Arabidopsis thaliana: one gene and its partners. The protein of the gene in region 3 interacts with the protein of the main gene of each other region in a pairwise test. Each region holds a gene or a part of one and is shown on either strand. Other genes may lie near its edges.

What was found.
Region 1: the proteins of GATA3 (region 3) and UPB1 interact in a two-hybrid assay, tested with the Arabidopsis thaliana proteins (one large-scale study listed by BioGRID).
Region 2: the proteins of GATA3 (region 3) and AT5G51790 interact in a two-hybrid assay, tested with the Arabidopsis thaliana proteins (one large-scale study listed by BioGRID).
Region 4: the proteins of GATA3 (region 3) and bZIP48 interact in a two-hybrid assay, tested with the Arabidopsis thaliana proteins (one large-scale study listed by BioGRID).

The regions. Positions count from the first base shown.
Region 1 is NC_003071.7:19,410,242-19,414,479, forward strand, and holds UPB1 (transcription factor UPBEAT protein), read right to left. Parts: upstream 2,088-4,238; 5' UTR 1,809-2,087; coding exon 1,500-1,808; 3' UTR 1,189-1,499; downstream 1-1,188. UniProt on the Arabidopsis thaliana protein: Transcription factor that modulates the balance between cellular proliferation and differentiation in root growth. Does not act through cytokinin and auxin signaling, but by repressing peroxidase expression in the elongation zone.
Region 2 is NC_003076.8:21,036,953-21,042,514, forward strand, and holds AT5G51790 (basic helix-loop-helix (bHLH) DNA-binding superfamily protein), read left to right. Parts: upstream 1-2,580; 5' UTR 2,581-2,614; coding exon 2,615-2,986; intron 2,987-3,100; coding exon 3,101-3,454; coding exon of another isoform or gene 3,455-3,493; exon of another isoform or gene 3,494-3,558; coding exon 3,559-3,642; 3' UTR 3,643-4,666; downstream 4,667-5,562.
Region 3 is NC_003075.7:16,550,612-16,555,629, forward strand, and holds GATA3 (GATA transcription factor 3), read left to right. Parts: upstream 1-2,533; 5' UTR 2,534-2,868; exon of another isoform or gene 2,869-3,083; 5' UTR 3,084-3,088; coding exon 3,089-3,370; intron 3,371-3,471; coding exon 3,472-3,999; 3' UTR 4,000-4,261; downstream 4,262-5,018. Other genes in the region: AT4G34690 (uncharacterized protein), read right to left, coding at 4,852-5,018. UniProt on the Arabidopsis thaliana protein: Transcriptional activator that specifically binds 5'-GATA-3' or 5'-GAT-3' motifs within gene promoters. May be involved in the regulation of some light-responsive genes.
Region 4 is NC_003071.7:1,329,849-1,333,619, reverse strand, and holds bZIP48 (basic leucine-zipper 48), read right to left. Parts: upstream 1,702-3,771; coding exon 1,201-1,701; downstream 1-1,200. Other genes in the region: AT2G04039 (DUF2996 family protein), read right to left, coding at 55-156; AT2G04137 (phosphogluconate dehydrogenase (decarboxylating), NAD-binding domain protein), read left to right, coding at 1,012-1,095, 1,258-1,437.

The DNA of each region.
Region 1 (4,238 bases), on a different chromosome or scaffold from region 3:
AAACGAAGTCGCAAGGCAAATATTAATAGATATTTTCGGATTTAAATGTCGGTATAATCAAAATTTATAGGAATTACATACGAAAGTAATGAAGGATCACCGAAAACATTTTCTAAAATAAAATAACCGCAATGTAAACCATGAGTTAGTGTACAGATAACATGTTATAGCTAAACTATATGATAAAAAAAACTATATGCTTAATTTTATTAAGCAAGTAAACAAAATATCACATAATTATGTTTTGGAAGAATCGGAAACCATATATGTTTGAGTAATCAAATGAGCCCGTTTATAAGCCCATTTAAAGACTTTACTTGCCATCTCTACACGGTGTTAAAGAATAAATGTGTAGTGCCATGTTAATATTGTTGAACCCCAAATCAACGTCGAGATAATAAAATGTCGGACCATTTCATCACAACCAATTCGTGTCATCTCAAATAAATTAAAGGGCTAAATGATACGTGGCCATCAAACATTTGTATCTGTTATCTATCATTATCACAGAGCGACACTGTAGTCCAACAGCAGGATTTAAAAGCACATAGTGACATAACACAGTTTTACCAATTACTTTGAAAGAATTACAATGAAAAGTAAATTACATCGTTATAATACGTACTATGAAGCTAGTAGTCTTCTCGATAAATTTTCTGCATATCCACTATTGATGCCTAGAACTATTCGAAAATAATCGGTATATTCTTTTTTTTGGTCATCGCAATTTTTAATTTATTTGTAACACCCTAAATGGAGAGCGTAGTAACAACACGTCAACAACAAATAATATGGAAAACACGAATGAAAAAACAAAATATAGCTAACTCACTGTGTTAAATAGTTTAAGGATTAATTTTGATATTTCAAGACTAAAATTCAAGTTCTTTCACTGTAATTTCCAAATCATAGTTTGCAATTATGAACTTTCAAATGAATAGAAATATTGAAACTTTCACAAGTTCGAAGGTGAGCCTGAACTTCGAATTTGGATGCTTCCACTATATGGACTAAAAATTCGGTATTTGAATTCGTGGCCCACGCACTTTCACAGCCCAACGTTAAACATTCTTTTTCAACAGTGTTTTGTCCCTTTATTGGTAAAAAATACCTGTTACCTCCCTACATTTGTATTTTCTCCAACCGACTGAACTTAATTTTATTGATATCATGTTTACAACATAGTTCCTTTACAACCTTTTTAAGAAATGACCCTTTGTTCTTTGCTAATGTAGCACACAAAAACTATTCCCATGGAACAATTATCATGTTTTTTTTGCCGAACCAACAGTCATCTGTTATTTAGATAAGCATATAATACATATATATTTTTGATATTTAATTTTCTGCATAGTCTACAGCAGCAAGATAAACCAAATTCCTTTTCTATATAAGCAACACAAGACAATCACACGAGATAATAAAAAATAAACACGAACAAATAAAAACTAAAAAGAACGTAAAATCCAACAAGATATACAAAAAATATATGAAGGCTTTTAAACACAGTTAGTTTCGGTCAAAACCTGAACCATTGTCTGCATAACTTTCACTTTCATTTCCAAAGCCAAGATATAATCTGCCGTTTGTCTAAAGAGTCCATCTAAACCTTCTGATGTTTTGGTGTTGGGAACAAGCTCTTTTAGCGTCTTCACTCGTCTGTGTATTGCGCGACAAGGTCTTCTAGAAGCTTCTACACTCTTCCTTGGTCGGATCATGATCTTCTTCACAAGTGCCCTTCGAGCCCTTTGTCTTCTCATCAAAACCCAAATTGATTCCTTTCTTTGTCCTTCTAATGTTACACCCATATTATTATTGTAAATGAAAGAATGTTGTGTAGACAAGTGATAACGTTTGCTTACAAGATTAGATGCAAATATATATGAGAGTATGAGACGCCCTTAGTTTATATAGACATACATAGAGGTCAGTGACCTTTATATATAGCTTAAAATGGAGATTACAGCTTCTGAGAAGGTTCTCCTTTTATCTCTCAAAAGAATTGGATGAGAATTTGACAAGTGTCCACAAGGGTGTTTTAAATGTTGTTTTTGATGGATAATTAGGGTTTAGCTTAAATCAGAGGACATGTCATCAAAATACAACTCGATGCACATGCACTCACATGATTATCATCACTACCCAACTCTCTTACATGCTTAATAACACCAACTTTCTTCCCATTCACATCACCTTAAACACCCTGTCTTATTCCTCCTTTGTTGCGCTTTATCCATTTTTTCATTTTATTTTATTTTACTTTCGCAGCCAATTTGTTCTGAGATTAACAAAGTCGGGCGGATTGAAGCAAACCAAAAAAAAAAAGTCAGGCATTAACGAAGAATATAATTATCTTTATGCCATTATCTTTCTAGATTAATTCTTAATCTAATTTATAAGCATGCAATCAGTGTATTAAGACGCTAGCGATTGAAATAGACAGATATATAGGTTGATAAGATGAAAAAGAAAATATTCATATTATGCCGCGCGCGTTAGCAAAAGTCAAAACAACTATCGAAAAATTATCTTATTTTATATTTCTCCCAAAATTTTGGTCTGATTCGTAAACTAATTTAGAAACATACAATATATTAGTGTTTGAGTTTCGCTACAATGTATATAGTTTGAATTGATCACCACTGTCGACGGAGATGATAGATAAAATATGACTATTTGGTTGTCATAATGCTTTTGCTTTTATCAAGTCGTTATATATCTCATTATTTCCAGCTGATATAACCCGGCGCAACTAATTAAGAAATATGAATAACCTAATGATATAACAAAAGCATTTCTAGGTGTTTTATTTTTTTGGACAAAGTAGATAACGATGTTGGATAATGGGATAAGGTCTTAATATAAAAAGACACAAGAACATGCAGTGATCTTCTGTGTTCCTTTGAATTTATGGACTTTCGTATTTAGGATTTTTATTTTAGTGAGTGGATTTGATTGAAGCACCTTAAAAGATTATGTTCTTTCTCGTCATGTGTTTATTTTTAAGAAAAGAAAAAGAAAAGCAGATTCGTGGAGCGATGTTGATCAAACATCCTCGGAGACTATAGATTCAATGTATATCTCCCATCGCCGTCAACACGAAACATTGTACTTACAAATTCTCTTAGACATATATGTACGTCTCTGATAATTGAGATATATAAATTGATCATTAAATGAGAATTAGCTTAACATTCGCATATGATTGATCAGTGTATGTCTATATTTTATAGGTTTCAAGGTAACGTGAAAAGTACCTAACTAATTAAGGTAGGTTTATACATATAATAAGTAGCCATAATGGAGTGTTTAGTGGTCGAAATTGATCGCTTGTTAGCAGCACGTTGTATGTATATTAGCTTAACGTGCATGCACATGTTCTTATATCCTCCCTATTCGTCTAGGCCACCCAACACATCTATATCCCAATTCACAATTTTTTATATATATTTTTTATTACCAGAAAATTATTAATGTTTCGGAAATTATGATCGAGTAATTATCTTATGTATAATTTTTACGAAATTTCCTTTGTTAATATCATAATAGTTGTTTTAACCAGAAAATGGTATATATATCAGAAAGAAGTAAAACAATAAGAAGACCATATCAGCAGAATCTATTATATGTTGAATGTTCTGTCTTCCAATAAATGATACAAAAATAAATCTTAAACTAGGATTTAATCCGTGGTACACCACGGGACAAATATTTTTTATATATATATATATAATAATATGAATTTTACGGTTTTAGTTTAGTATTAAAGTTATATAATTTTATATTAATATTGTAACTAAAAAAATTGGTGATGATAAAATAATAAAATAAATATTTAACATGTGTTATATCAATCCAAACCCGTCCTGCTATTCATATCAATCTAAATCCGTCCCGCTATATTTTTTGTCTCATGATTTTTTAATTTTTTATAAGTTTAAATATTAGTTGTTGAATTAGTTATGATTGTGATTTTATACCGAAAAAGTTATGGACTTTTAATTTCATGGAATATTCAAACCAAGATAAGGAATGTTTTTAGGTGCACATATAATTGGGTTTGCTCATTTTACGGGATTGTAAATGTATTTTGGTTTGTTTCACAATGTTTGTTTTAATTGATTGCCGATATTTAATAGAAATAATTTAAATAGTTCAAATTTTGGTTGTTTTAAGATTTAGTGAATATTGTAGGTGAGATAAGGAGAAGATAATTTATCGTGTTTTGCGTGACATAT
Region 2 (5,562 bases), on a different chromosome or scaffold from region 3:
CATATATGAAACAGCTATTAAAGTATATACAAAATTAAGCAAACAAACTATATAGTATTATAAAGATTTTTGTAGCTTCAATCTGCTTTAATCTTAATTTGTAGGATAAAAATATGAGTTTCTTATTATGAACAGCTAAGTATTTTCCATCTTTTTAAAGGTCAATATTTGGATATTATAAAACTGATACTATATTTTATCAAAATGTATAGTACAGTGAGTTACGTTGTACTAGCAACGCAAGTGAAAGTTTTATTGAAATTCCAATATAATACATTTGTGAATTTTTTATATAAAAAAATGCTTGCGGTTAGTTAGCATTTTGGTTTCACAAAACTAAAATATCTTAAAAGTTTTATTTTTTTGGGCGACATATACAACGATATGTTCATGATGATGAACTTTTACAAAACAAACCTAACTGAAAAAGCATAAAATTATTGCCAGACAATATATTATTAAAGTCTCATTAATAATTTCAAAACAAATTCGGTTAAGTGAACTTTTTATGAAAAGAAAACAAATACTATGTATTAAACATATACAACAAGAAAACATTAAACATGCAAGATCCTACGGGGAAAACCGTTAGAAATGGATTTTCGAGATTTTTGACGGAATTCGACCGTCGAATATACAACATTGGAAATCAAAATCTGTTGGAAATGTTTTGGAATTTTCCGATAATTGTTTTTAATTATTTTAAAATATTATGAAATTAAATTCAAATTCGATTTATAAATAAGAATCTTGTATTTATACAACTCGGAAGCTCTAGTTATCGTTATTATTTTCTTTTCTCTCAACCTATTAGAAACTATCACTAGGATCATCAAAATCAAAGATTTATCGAGTAAATCTCCCAAAAACGAATCGACTAGATTTTCTGTTTCCGATCAAAACTATTGTTTTAAGACTTTAAGTAGTCCCATACTAAAAAAAAAAAAAAAAAAAAAAAAGTAGTCCCTTACTACATCAAATTCGTCTTCCTTGACGGCAGTTCTACTGTTTACCTTTCTAACAATTTGATTAGAAAATACTGTTAGATTATTATAAGTGGTTGGTTTGTAACTGAACACGGCTTACACACAGAACAAAAATCAAACTTGAGGTTATAATGAATAACTACATAAACTCACATGTGGCATAATGCATGCTCGAAATAATTTGGGAGAGTGGGATCCATGAGATGCTAATGAGGCTGGGATATTTTAGGACAAATGAAACAGCTGGTTTCCATCTATTAATAACCAGGATCTTTCTTGTCTCCTCTTCCACCTTGTCTTGAAGTTGCATGAGCTGTCCTAGGCCTATCTTTTAACTATGTCCACTCCACTTCACTCATCCTATCCACTTAGCTTATCCCCATTATTAAATGTGTCTCCCTTGGTTTTACTATTTATCTTTATCATATTTTGATTGAAAAATATCGTGAGGTTAGTTTCTAGAAGTTTTACCCGATGACAATCGAAATTGCCAAAACAACAAAAGAAACTGATAAGATATTTTCTCTGTCCAAGTGAATGAGAGTGAATTCCCAATATTTTTAAATGATGTTTGTATTCTTGTTCTCTTTTTTTTTTCATTTAACTGTTATGGGATATGTACGTAATTTTCCGCAATTCTAATGTATACTATAACAATATGATTTTCATGCTTAGACTGCGTTAGAAAGTTCGGTTATAATACTGACAACATTTGTGTGTTCATTGATACTGCGAACATCTTCACAAACATATTGATAAATAATCTCTTCTCTTGCATGAGATTATATTATTTGAGTACATGTACACGTTCTTATTTGCCGAATGTTCTTTGTTGCCACCATAAAGTTTTATTGGGCCAAAACTAATAGAAACCACACATAATCATTTCGTTGTTTTGTGTTTTTGTCAAACAAATCACACATAATTCAACGACAAACTTTCTAATTTGAGCAACCTCTTTATCTCCTTGAAAGTTTCTATGGAGAATTCTACCGATTAGTCGACTCATGACTATTCATCCATTATCACAATTGACAAATCCAGATATTTTGATCAAATATCATTTGATTTTTTTGTTCTATCTCGAAGCAGATACCAGTGTACCATAAGAAAAAAATGCTTCATTAGTCATCTTCAAATCACATGCAAAAATTTGGAAGAAAACTGAAAACAATTTGCATGATAGATCATAATGTTCAAGCAAAAATAAATAAATCCAAATGTGATAAAATGTATAGATATTCACATTGATCTTACTAGTAATATTATATATTTTCTAAAGTTAATTAAAATGTTCTATGTATTTTTTTATATATGAAACACATCATATAAAAGAAAATTGGAATGTAAATTCCAGATCTTGATCCATATAAATATATCAAGATTTATATCGATCAAGATCATATTGGGATCCGTTTTAGACTAATCAAGATTTTACCATTCATATTTCTTGGATATCTGAAATTATAAAGCGCGTCAGAAAATCTTCTACAAGACACTCCCAACATTAAAAAGCCAGAGAAATGATTTGCACACACTCGCTAGTTATATACATACAAAGCATAAAGTTCTGTCACGTGTAAAAGAGCTTGTGAAACATTACAGCAAACCAAACTATTTGACTAAAGATGAAAACAACACCTCTCCCGAGGCTGCATTATTTAGTAAGTCTTCTTTGTTTTTTTCTTTCTTCCAAGATTAAAGAAGACAGACCCAATTATGTAAGGGCAGTCTCTCCTATAAACCTAACTAGTTCATTGGAAAAAACAAGAGAGAAAAAAAAACGATTACTGCTGAGATCTACCATTTCTAAACCTCAACCCATGAATCCTTCTAACAATCCTAAAAAGACAAGGCACCAGAGTCATATGCCTCAAGAAAGAGATGAAACGAAGAAGGAGAAGAAGCTTCTCCACCGCAACATCGAACGACAAAGAAGACAAGAAATGGCGATCCTTTTCGCCTCTCTTCGTAGTCAGCTACCTCTAAAATACATCAAGGTACATATATTTTACTCCAATAGTCTCATTGAAGTCCCAATCTTCCTATCAAGTTCATTGATGGGAGATTTTTGTTCTCTAGGGTTTTAGTTTTCTCAGGCTCTTTCTTCGCAGGGAAAGAGAGCCATGTCAGATCATGTAAACGGAGCAGTAAGTTTCATCAAAGACACGCAAACAAGGATAAAAGATCTCTCCGCAAGAAGAGACGAGCTAAAGCGAGAGATTGGTGACCCTACTAGTCTAACTGGATCCGGATCCGGATCTGGATCAAGTAGATCGGAACCAGCTAGTGTCATGGTGCAACCGTGTGTGAGCGGCTTCGAGGTGGTTGTGAGCAGCTTAGCATCAGGTCTCGAGGCTTGGCCACTCTCAAGAGTTCTTGAAGTTCTTCACGGGCAAGGACTTGAAGTCATCAGCTCTTTAACAGCACGAGTCAACGAGAGGCTCATGTACACTATACAAGTCGAGGTACGGTTACATATTTGGAGTTATTGTAGAGTTTTTTAGTGTAAGCTTATCTATTGTGTAAATATGCTTATTCTTATGTATCCATATATATGATATATCCACAGGTAAATAGCTTTGATTGCTTCGACTTAGCTTGGTTGCAGCAGAAGCTAATTGAGCAGTTAGTACTTTCCACGACTAGGCACTGAAAAAACTAACATTTGTCATAAGAATATGTTCATTGAATGATGCTTTTGTCCCAATCTCTTTGTTTTAGTGTCCGTAAGGGTGTGTTCTTTTGGTCCTTCACTACTTGGAGTGATTTTTTTTTTTTTTTTTGTAAAAATGATCTGGTTGATTAGATTGAATTAGCAAATTCTAAACTTTCATGCATGCTTCTTTATATAGGAGAATCTTTTGATCACCAACAAAACAAAAATATAGTGATGCGCCTGATTTCTTTATACATTTTTGAATATATATATTCATCAATCGATGATAAAGACTAGAGTCTCATCGGTGTCTTTTTATACTTCATATGCATGAACCATAGTTGATAGATATTTTGAACATAGCATACATACACTTCTCTGAGACTTACCAATGAAGATATTTTATGAGAGGAGCATGGTAATGCAGGTTAAATAATGGAGCAGCTGCCATTCAACATTAGTAGATATCTTGTGAGTTTTACTGACTAAATTCGTACGACATTGACCTATAGCTAGGAACAAACACTGATCAAAAGAAACTTTCATTTGATTAACCCGCATATATATTAGTAGATAATATGGCATGCACATAATTTGATTTGACTCACGGTTTTCAAGTTTTCTAATCATGCCATATTTTGTTCATAAATGAAATTACATGACATTACTGAAATATATGGAAAGGAATACTGAAAACGTTTTTTTGGGTTAAGAAGAAGAAGAAAGTACATTCAAATATTCATCTATATTTTATAGTGACGTATATATAACTCTAGGTTTCTTTTGCCTCTTCGGCCTCAACCAGAAGCACTGAAGCACTGAAGCACATAAACAGTATCGCATAACTTCGGTCATATATATTTTGCCGTTGAATAATTTTTCTTAGATTTATGTAAAATTATGGCTTAAATACATCTTAATTATATAAAAATTAGCGAGGATGGCAGTCGAATGTTAAAGCAATAAAGATACGATTGAGTGGTTGAGATCTCCCTAATATACTTTTGATTTAATTATTGTTAGTTAATGGTTAAGTACAAAGATGCTGTCCAACGAATTCATGATCTTCAAATTGGATTATGTTCTAATAAAGACAGCCTAATTAGACCAATACTTAAATCAATTGTTGGTGATGCGTGGTTAAATAATATTCTGATGACAAAAAAACATAATTTTATTTTTTAAAAGTCCCTTTTCCAGAAGAAAAAAAGTTATAAGAAAAAGTTTAGCATATCCGAATTGACTAGTTCTATCTATAATTCAAGTGGATGACCGTAAAGCTTAAAAGAAAATGTCTATGCCCGATCCCTAAATTTCGAATTTATTTATAACAAAAAATTTGGTAAACTATTTATTTATTAATAATAAATTGGTCACATATATTCCGATTTTTAGTTCGAGAAGTACCCTTTTATGAATCTGAAATCCAATTATCGAGGGCACGATTTAAGACAGCTCACCTAATCATAAATAGTGGAAGAAAAAAGCTCTAATCTTACGTATGTATGAGTTTCTGGCTTTAGAAGAGTTAATTAACCTAAAGTTATCTAGTTGAGTGTTGTGTGAGTGTGAGGTTTGGCCCGTTTCTGATGCTGATTAGTTGGCATACATATCATTATCCGCATGTACTACCAAAAAATATCCGCTTGTACTATGGTCAGCTTTCGAATATTTATGGTGGTGTACGATTTTACCAAATATCCTTGAGAATAAAATCCACTTGGCGAATATTAGTCAACGATTATTTGACTTTAGAAGTAGTCAAGGTTCTACAGAATTAGCAGTAAATAACATTGTAGAAATAAGTTTCTAGCTATCCCGTGAATTTTGGAAGGAAAAAAAACATATTTTTGTTCCTTCACTCATTTTATCATTGGTTTCTTATAGATTTTTCAAATTCTATAAACTTTTTGAATG
Region 3 (5,018 bases):
TTGTTGATTCGAATAATGATCAGTTGTTACTTATTAGGTCCTGGTAAGACATTGAGATTTTGTTACATTTTATTCTGACTATGGTCCGTGATGAATGATTACGTATTCAAATGGATTATGCTTTTGTTAAAACGCAATGATTATGTTCTGTGTTAACTTTTTTTTTCGTCTCTCGTTTTCGTTTTGTCTTATTTTTATGTGAAAGAAAAAATCATTTGGATACATATCTTTTTTTTCCTCATTTATTTTACTTAGTGATAATATAGCAACTAAATTTCTAATATGCGATTTGATGTCATTGATTCGAACAATACATTTGCATCACAATGATAGATTGGATTTTAGGTAAATCTATTGAAGTTTTTAATGTTTTATTAGGTAAAACTTTATAATAGGTTAGATATTATTCTACATTTTTTTGCCTAGAGATATTGCGAATACAAGAATCATTAACTCAAAAACCACTTGCATTGATTACAGGACTTGAAACTCTCTCCCATTTTCTTGACGTCAAAAATGATAAAAACTACTCCATGTTTTATAAAAGATAAGAAAAGGGAAAGAGTGATGATGATGATGCGTCGTGAATCGACGAATAAGAGGAAAATGTGACACGTTCTCTTTTCCCCCATTACGCTCTCGTCACTCCTCACCAGCCTGCTCCCTTTTCAAACTTTTCTGTTTTCCCCCTAATTTTACGAAAATCAAAATAAGTTAAAATGGAATATATACCAACTTTCAAAATAAAAAATCTTCAAAACATATCAATGTGTATATAGCGACACGAGTATAAAGTCCCACACACACAATAAACTAAGGTTGGCAGAAAAAAATATACCACCAAACTAAGTGATCGTAACTACTCTTTCGAAAAAACCAAACCCTAATCTTGTTTTAAGACTAAGACCAATTATACTAAAAAGGAAAGATTTCATAATTGGAAGGAAAGTAGTATACTTTGATAGTTATTAAAAATAAAAATAAAATGTTCAAAAGATTTGGCTATAGTGGTTGCTTTGGTGAACTCCACTCCAACGGTGGTTTGCACCATCTCCATTCCCATCACTACCAAAAACCCACACTTCTTTTTTTTTTTCTTTCTTTGCGTAATGTGGGTTAAAAGGAACTTTATTTATGCTCTTGTTTTTGGGTGTTTGAATCGAATTTGAAATCAACATTTGTTTTTATTTTATTTTATTTATAAAAAATTTGTGTGTTTGGAAAGTTGTAAAAGGTTCAAGGGGTTTCGGTAGAGATAATCTTAATTTGGTTTTTAACACATCGACTTAATCCAAATTGACATCTCTAATAGGATTCAGATATTATTATATCTATCCTGTAATTTTCCATAAAATGTAATCAATATGAGATTTGGTATTAGGGTATGAACTTAATGTATCTTATCGGAAAAATGTTTTCTCCTTTGGGTTACCTAATCTCATATCTAATGCCAAAAATAGCATAACATAGAAGATTGGCTAGATCATATGTGGACATCACCGACTGCATGGCAATGTTTGTTTTATAATCGCGTAATACTTGTTTGTCATTTGCCAGTTCTCATAACAAATGCGAAAATAATCTTATATATCCTTGGTAATGCATGTAAAAATTAATTTTGCTTCATGAATTATTTTATATTCTTAAATTCATGACTGAATGAAATTTCTTATCTATATTCAGACGCAGTATATGGGACATCTAACTCAATTTTAAGATTCTAGATTGGATGATTTTATGTTGTTTGACAAAAAAAATAAAAAAATTGGATGCTTTCTATAAATTTCATGCTTTGTATTTTATTAAATTTTGAGCTATTATTGTATTAGTATAGAATTGAGCTATTATTGGATTGTTCTTATCACTTTGTTAATTTCATTTGGTCCTTTAGTTAGATATCAAAATTTTTAAAATTTTCAAAAAAGATCACAGGTTTAATCGGTGACTTTCAATAATACTAGTTTTAACACGACAAGCAAAATATTGTGCATGTATACTATTAAATTGTTAATGTTAGTACTATGAAATAACAAATTCATCACCATTGTAAAACTTAATGTTTCAACATTTCCTAAGAAGAAATGGTCAACCCTTTTGACAAGACAAGCTAAATTGGCATGGACAAGGAACACAGCATCATGATATAACCCTTCACAATAATTATAATAAAAACAATCAAATTTGTATTGAATAATGCGAAACAGACCTGACTTATCAATATGTGACGAAGGATAAGCCCACGCCAAAAACATCCACGTAAAGAACTCATTGATTAGGTCCAAAGAAATTTGGAGAAAATAAAACAAATCCTGACGTGAAAATAAAAAGAAATCATCACTTTTTTTTATCTCTTTTATTTTCTTCTAAATACAAAAATTGAATAATCAATTAATTTTTCATGTATGCAAACAATTTCTTAACAAGTCTTGTGAGCTTTAAATGAAATATAGAGGCGAGTGGATTAGACTTGATCCTGATCTTTTATTAAGCTGATCCATATTTTACATTGAAATAAAGGACACACCGTTTAACACGAAAATGAAGAGACAAATAAAGAAGAGGAAAAGCATTGATTCTGAAATACCAATATAGTATCATTCGTGAAAGAAGATTTTGTAATATTCCACAAACTTAGAAATTAGGGGAAAAGAAAACAAAAAAAAAAGATAGGAAAAAAGAGCTTTAACTTTTGGAATTGGAAGAAGCACAAACACACACAAAAAAAAAGTCTCTGTTTTACCTTTTAACCCCTTCAAGAATCCTCCTTTAAGTTCAGTGCCCTCTTACTTTTCTCTTATCGGAATATCTCTCTTCCTCTGTTTCTTCGCCATTCTCTCAGCTTTTCTCCTTCTTCTTCGTCTTTGTCAGGTAAAGAGATACGATGAGCATATCCCACATACCTCTCTCCTCTTCTCATCTTTTTAGTTTCTCGAAAGTTTGCATGCGCCGACTTTGTTATAGGTTATAAACTTTAGTTTTAAGCCTATTTTCGTATGTTTATGGTTGTTGTAATAGTTGAGAATTCAGAGTATGTCAAGTGAAACTTAAAAAGAATTCTATATGTATGTGTGTATGTGTTAAAGAGTGAATGGAGCTGTGGACAGAAGCTAGAGCCTTAAAGGCAAGTCTAAGAGGAGAATCTACTATATCTCTCAAACATCACCAAGTGATTGTGTCGGAAGATTTAAGCCGAACTTCTTCCTTGCCGGAAGATTTCTCCGTTGAGTGTTTCCTCGATTTCTCAGAAGGTCAAAAAGAAGAAGAAGAAGAAGTTGTCTCTGTTTCTTCTTCACAAGAGCAAGAAGAACAAGAACATGATTGTGTCTTTAGTTCACAACCTTGCATCTTTGATCAACTTCCTTCTTTGCCGGTAAATTTCTAAACTTCTTTATACCTTTTCTTTCTCTTCTTATAATCGAAAGATTTTAAGTTATATTTTTCTTGATTTCTTTTTTTTTGGGATATTTTTAGGATGAAGATGTGGAAGAGCTTGAATGGGTATCTCGTGTTGTGGATGATTGTTCATCACCAGAAGTTTCACTTCTCTTAACACAAACACATAAAACCAAACCAAGCTTCTCAAGAATTCCGGTTAAACCAAGAACCAAACGGTCTCGGAACAGTTTAACCGGTAGTCGTGTTTGGCCACTCGTTTCAACCAATCATCAACATGCAGCAACAGAGCAGTTGAGGAAGAAGAAACAAGAAACTGTCCTTGTGTTTCAACGAAGATGCAGCCATTGTGGCACAAACAACACACCACAGTGGAGAACCGGTCCGGTCGGTCCAAAAACCTTATGTAATGCATGTGGAGTCCGGTTTAAGTCTGGTAGGCTCTGCCCGGAATACAGACCGGCGGATAGTCCGACGTTCTCGAATGAGATTCACTCAAATCTTCATAGGAAGGTTCTGGAATTAAGAAAGAGTAAAGAGTTGGGTGAAGAAACAGGTGAAGCTAGTACTAAATCAGACCCAGTCAAATTTGGCAGCAAGTGGTAGATAAGACTTAGGTAAAACCTACTTTTTGTAACATTATCTGTAGTGTTGTAATTTAACAACTTGCTTCTTAACATTTTGAAACTGTTTCAGGAACTAGTCTTAAGTAAACAATGGTTTTCTATAAACAAAATTAATGTGTGTTTTTAATGATGTAAGACCACCACCACCACTACTAGTACTTGGAATGATTTTGGTCCATGTGTAGTGGCTTAAATAGACTTTTTGAGTAAACAAAATGCCAAATGGAAGAATCATCTTGAAAACTCCAACATTACTATATAGTATATATATTATTGATAAATCTTGAGATTCGACATATTTATTTGATAATCGATGCAAGCATAATTAATTTAGACATTTATTCAGCAAAAAAAAAAATTAGGTATGTAATTAATTTATACATATCGAATTACTAAAGGTTAATTTTCAGGCTAATCGTAGATAAACGATTTCGTTAAATCCCCATGAAAGTAAATTTAGGCAAATGTATGATGCTATGTCTGCCGCATAATTGTTTAATCTCACCATTTGCATATCAATCTTTAAGGGAAACATCCTTTTAATGTGTTTATGTGGCCTTGTCTCCGTTTTATTGCTACTTTGTGTCATACTCAAAATAAGTTGACTATAAAGCTACATGTATCTACACAAAAAGAGAGTTTATTTAGTATGCTTGCTTGGGAATAAGCAGGAGACAAAAGAAAACATCCAAGTTAAAACATGAAGCAGCAAAAGAGAGTGTTCATCCACAAAATGTGAGAGGTTTCTTAGCATATAAAGATATTGATATAAATCTAATCATTCTCGTAAGAACAAGAACAAAATGAAAGAGCCAAAAACTAAACCCATCTTTCACTTTTTAGATACGAGAAGTGCCACGATCTTTTGAAGATCTTCCTGATTTTGCTTTGCAACCTTTGTAATCTCATCAAGCCGGTGCATGTAGAGAGCATTTTTGGCACTCATCTCTTTCTTAAACTCATGGATAACCACACTCTTCTTGTTTATCTCCAACCACA
Region 4 (3,771 bases), on a different chromosome or scaffold from region 3:
AAGATTCAATTCAAATGAGATACAAACTCCATGAAAATTGAAGACATTACAAACCAATGTTAGTGGTGGAAGCAAAGAAGAGGAAGAGAGAGTTGGTGTTGTTATAGAGATACGAGAGCTTGGGACTCCAAATGATCCTCCTGCTATTGTTGCCATAATTAGGAAGAAACAGAAACTGTAATTGAGCTTCTTCAACGATTACAAGATTCGTTGTTCTCAAAATTCTCAGTTTTTCTCCATTTTTTGCCTCAAACTCAAGACTAATGTTTTTTAGTGGACCAAAAGCAAAGGAAAAAAGAAGAGGAAATAAAACAAGAGACAAATGTGAAAAAGGCTGAGCCTAAGATTTGCCAACCACACACACAAAAAAGAGATATAGCATATTTTTATACCTACAAATAAAATTAAAAACACTTGCACTTCCCATTATAGTTATGTTTACTATCGTATGTAAACTTTAGTAATAATATGTTTACGTTGATCTTCCCATTGTAGAAGCACAAGAATAGAAGAAAGAAAGAGTTAAGTGTCGTTAGCTTAATTGGTAAAGACTCTAGGCAAAACTAATATTACGGATTTCGGCCCAGAACCAAAAAAAAAAAATATATATATAGAAGAAGGAAAAAAAATTGTCAATAGATTAGAAGCATGGACTAAATTGACATTTCATAAACTATCAGATAAAATGAATAATATTTTGTAAATTCAGATTAGTACTCCGCAAATAAATTTGATTGAGAACTTCTAACGTGCCCGACTGGAGTAAAATAAGATTCCAAATGACACTGGAGTTTTAGCCAAATTTCAATCACGTGGCGAAATCTTGTTCGTTCTTAAACTGCCAGTTAGAGATGCAAAAAGAATCAAAGTTTAGGGAGTAAACTGTAAATACTTCCTTTTCAAGTAAGTATTTGATGATAATGGCTCCCTGATTAGAAATGTCTCATTATTTTAGACCATTATCACTAAGCAGTAAGCACTATAAGTCTATAATCGCAGAAGATAGATAAAATGGAAGTAGGGTTTTCTATGGGTTTGGGAATCATGGGAAAGTCCATGTCAATGAATATATTGAAGAACGGATTCAAAGTCACTGTATAGAACAGAACACTCTCCAAGGTATAAAAACCAAAATTTTCTGCTTTTGATTGTGTTAATAGATTACGTTTTGTCTGATAAAGTTGGACACTTTGAGTAATACTAATTATCTTCAAACTCTCTTGGAAAACTATTGTTGTTGTTCTTGTTAGATTTCAGTTCACAAACAAGCTGTCGGAGATCAGAAGCTTCTTCTTTGAGTTTAGAGTTCTCCTTCAATACACAATTTTGAGTCTCCGATACGCGGTTCAGCTTATCGATAAGACAGTTGTTCTCGTTGCGAAGCCTTATTACCTGAGACCAGAGTTCATCAAGATGTCTCTGTTTCCTCATCCTTGACCTCCTTGCAGATTCTCTGTTCGAAAGCATCCTTCTCTGTTTCCTCTCGTCGAGTACCATGATGCTTTGATGATGATCTTCGTCGGAAGTTGAGTTGTTGCTTATCATGAGATCTTGACTGTTGGATGATGAGGAATAGTTGTTGTTGTTGATGATCAAATCGTTTAGGTAGTTTAAGGAAGAGGTTGGAGATGAAGGCATGTTTATTACGTTGTATTCCGGTGATAGATATTGGAAATATCCGTTGATTTCTGCCGGAATCATGGTTTTAGTTTGGTTTATATGAGTATGTAAGAGTTTCTGTGTTTTTATTTTGTGTGAAGAATTGGGAAGTTAGTTTTGAAGTAAGAGGAGGAAGTGGACCAAGGGTTTTATAATGGGGTTGTAGGAGAATCATGTAGAAGTGGGTCCTATGGATTATAAGAGCATAGAATAAGAAGAAAAAATGCGATGCTATAATTCGTAATTTATAGTGGTGGAACATGGACAAAGAAATGGAAAGAGTTTAGTCATAACAAAAATATTGTTAGTGTTTTATATATAACTTGTTCATTGGAAGTGAGAGCAGAAACTGCGAGAAGGTTTTTAAAATTTTGGTTTTTTTATATAATTTAAACCCAATAATAGTTAACTTGAGTTGTTTATTTTTGTAACCTAGATTTATACACGTAAACCCTTTTTTATTTTAATTTATGGTAAATTATATTAAAAAAAAATATTTATACAATGTTTAATACGCAGTAAAAAAAAATACAATGTTTAATACAAAATTTTCATATCTTTTAGTTTAAATCTATCCTTAGCATTTGTCTTGTCGCAACCAAGTTTGGATGCTTCCCTTCCCTAGAATGAACTTATAGAGAGAGAGAGAGAGTGATGCGGCTAAACTTTAATTAAAAGATTGGATACGTTTGAGCGCCAAGTTCGATCCATTATATGCATTTAACTTAAAAGATTCGACATGTCTATTGTTTAAAATATAACTAACTAAAGTAATTAAGTACTGACTTGTCCCTCATTCGTTTTCCTTTATAAGTGATCATTAAATAAGAACCCACACTCTACATCGTGGAGAAATATGTGTAGAAATTTTAGTTTGTTAATTTATATCATAAATTATAATTATAATATATTTTATTTAATAAGTTTATTTTGTAATTTTATATATTTAATTTATTATATCATATTTCAATGTAATTTTGCAATCGAATTAATAAATTTGACAATAATTCATCCAATGTTAAAATCGTTGATATCTAGAGAGTGAGACATGTTGATACGCAGAGAAATTCATCAATTCATAGAAACTAATCATAGCAAATTTAGAGGATTAACCGAAAACATGATATATTATGTTTAATTATGATATTAATAAAAATATTTGTATTAATGATTAAGAAGTATTTATGAATATTAATTATGGTTAAAAAACGTAATTTGATGTTTGTTGCGTTATCCCATTCTACATAGGATCTCGTTTGTTTCAATATTTTGGAAAATATAATAATGAATTTGAATATATAAAAGATATGATTTTTGTCATAGTATTTTTCGTTGTGAGTTTTGTTGCATTTAGTGTCCAAGTGAGTCTTTTGAATTTTAGAAGTCTTAGTGTCTTTATGTGTATTATGTTATTTTTTATGTCTTTTACACTACAATGGACATTCTTATCACGAGAAAAATGCTATAATATGTCTTTAATAACTTTTTCATGAACGCTATTTTAGGGCATTGTTATTATAGGTACCTCACATACAGTAGCGTGAGTTCAGTATGCTATGTTATAGTTTAATAACATAGCTATAAAGAACAGTTGTATTATCACGTTTAATTTTCTTAAAAAAATTATATAATATTTGATTTTTCGTGCTATGTTATATATCTCTAATATAGCTGTTGCGAAATGTTGTTTTATCGTGGTTTGCCTTTTTTCAATTGGAAAATAATTAGTCAAATTATGTGCTATGTTATGTTCTTATATCAATTTATAAGCTACGATAGATGATTAAAACATAGCATTAGTCATATGTTAAATATTCTATTACCTGTATTCTTATAGCATTTTCTGAGATGTGATTATAGTACACATAACACATAACCTGCTTTATAAAATCTCATACATTGACCATTGATTAAACATAAGTTTAGATCCAAAATACATAAGAAAAGTCTCAAGCACAAAATAAAGCAATACAGGAGCTAAGTGCATATGTTCTCTTTCCTTGTGTGGTAGGATGCAAAGCGTGTCGTAGACCAAGATGTTGCAGATCCTTACGTGCATTAAGACCATCCTTAGATTTTCCACAATGCAACAATGTGGATACAATACTGTGA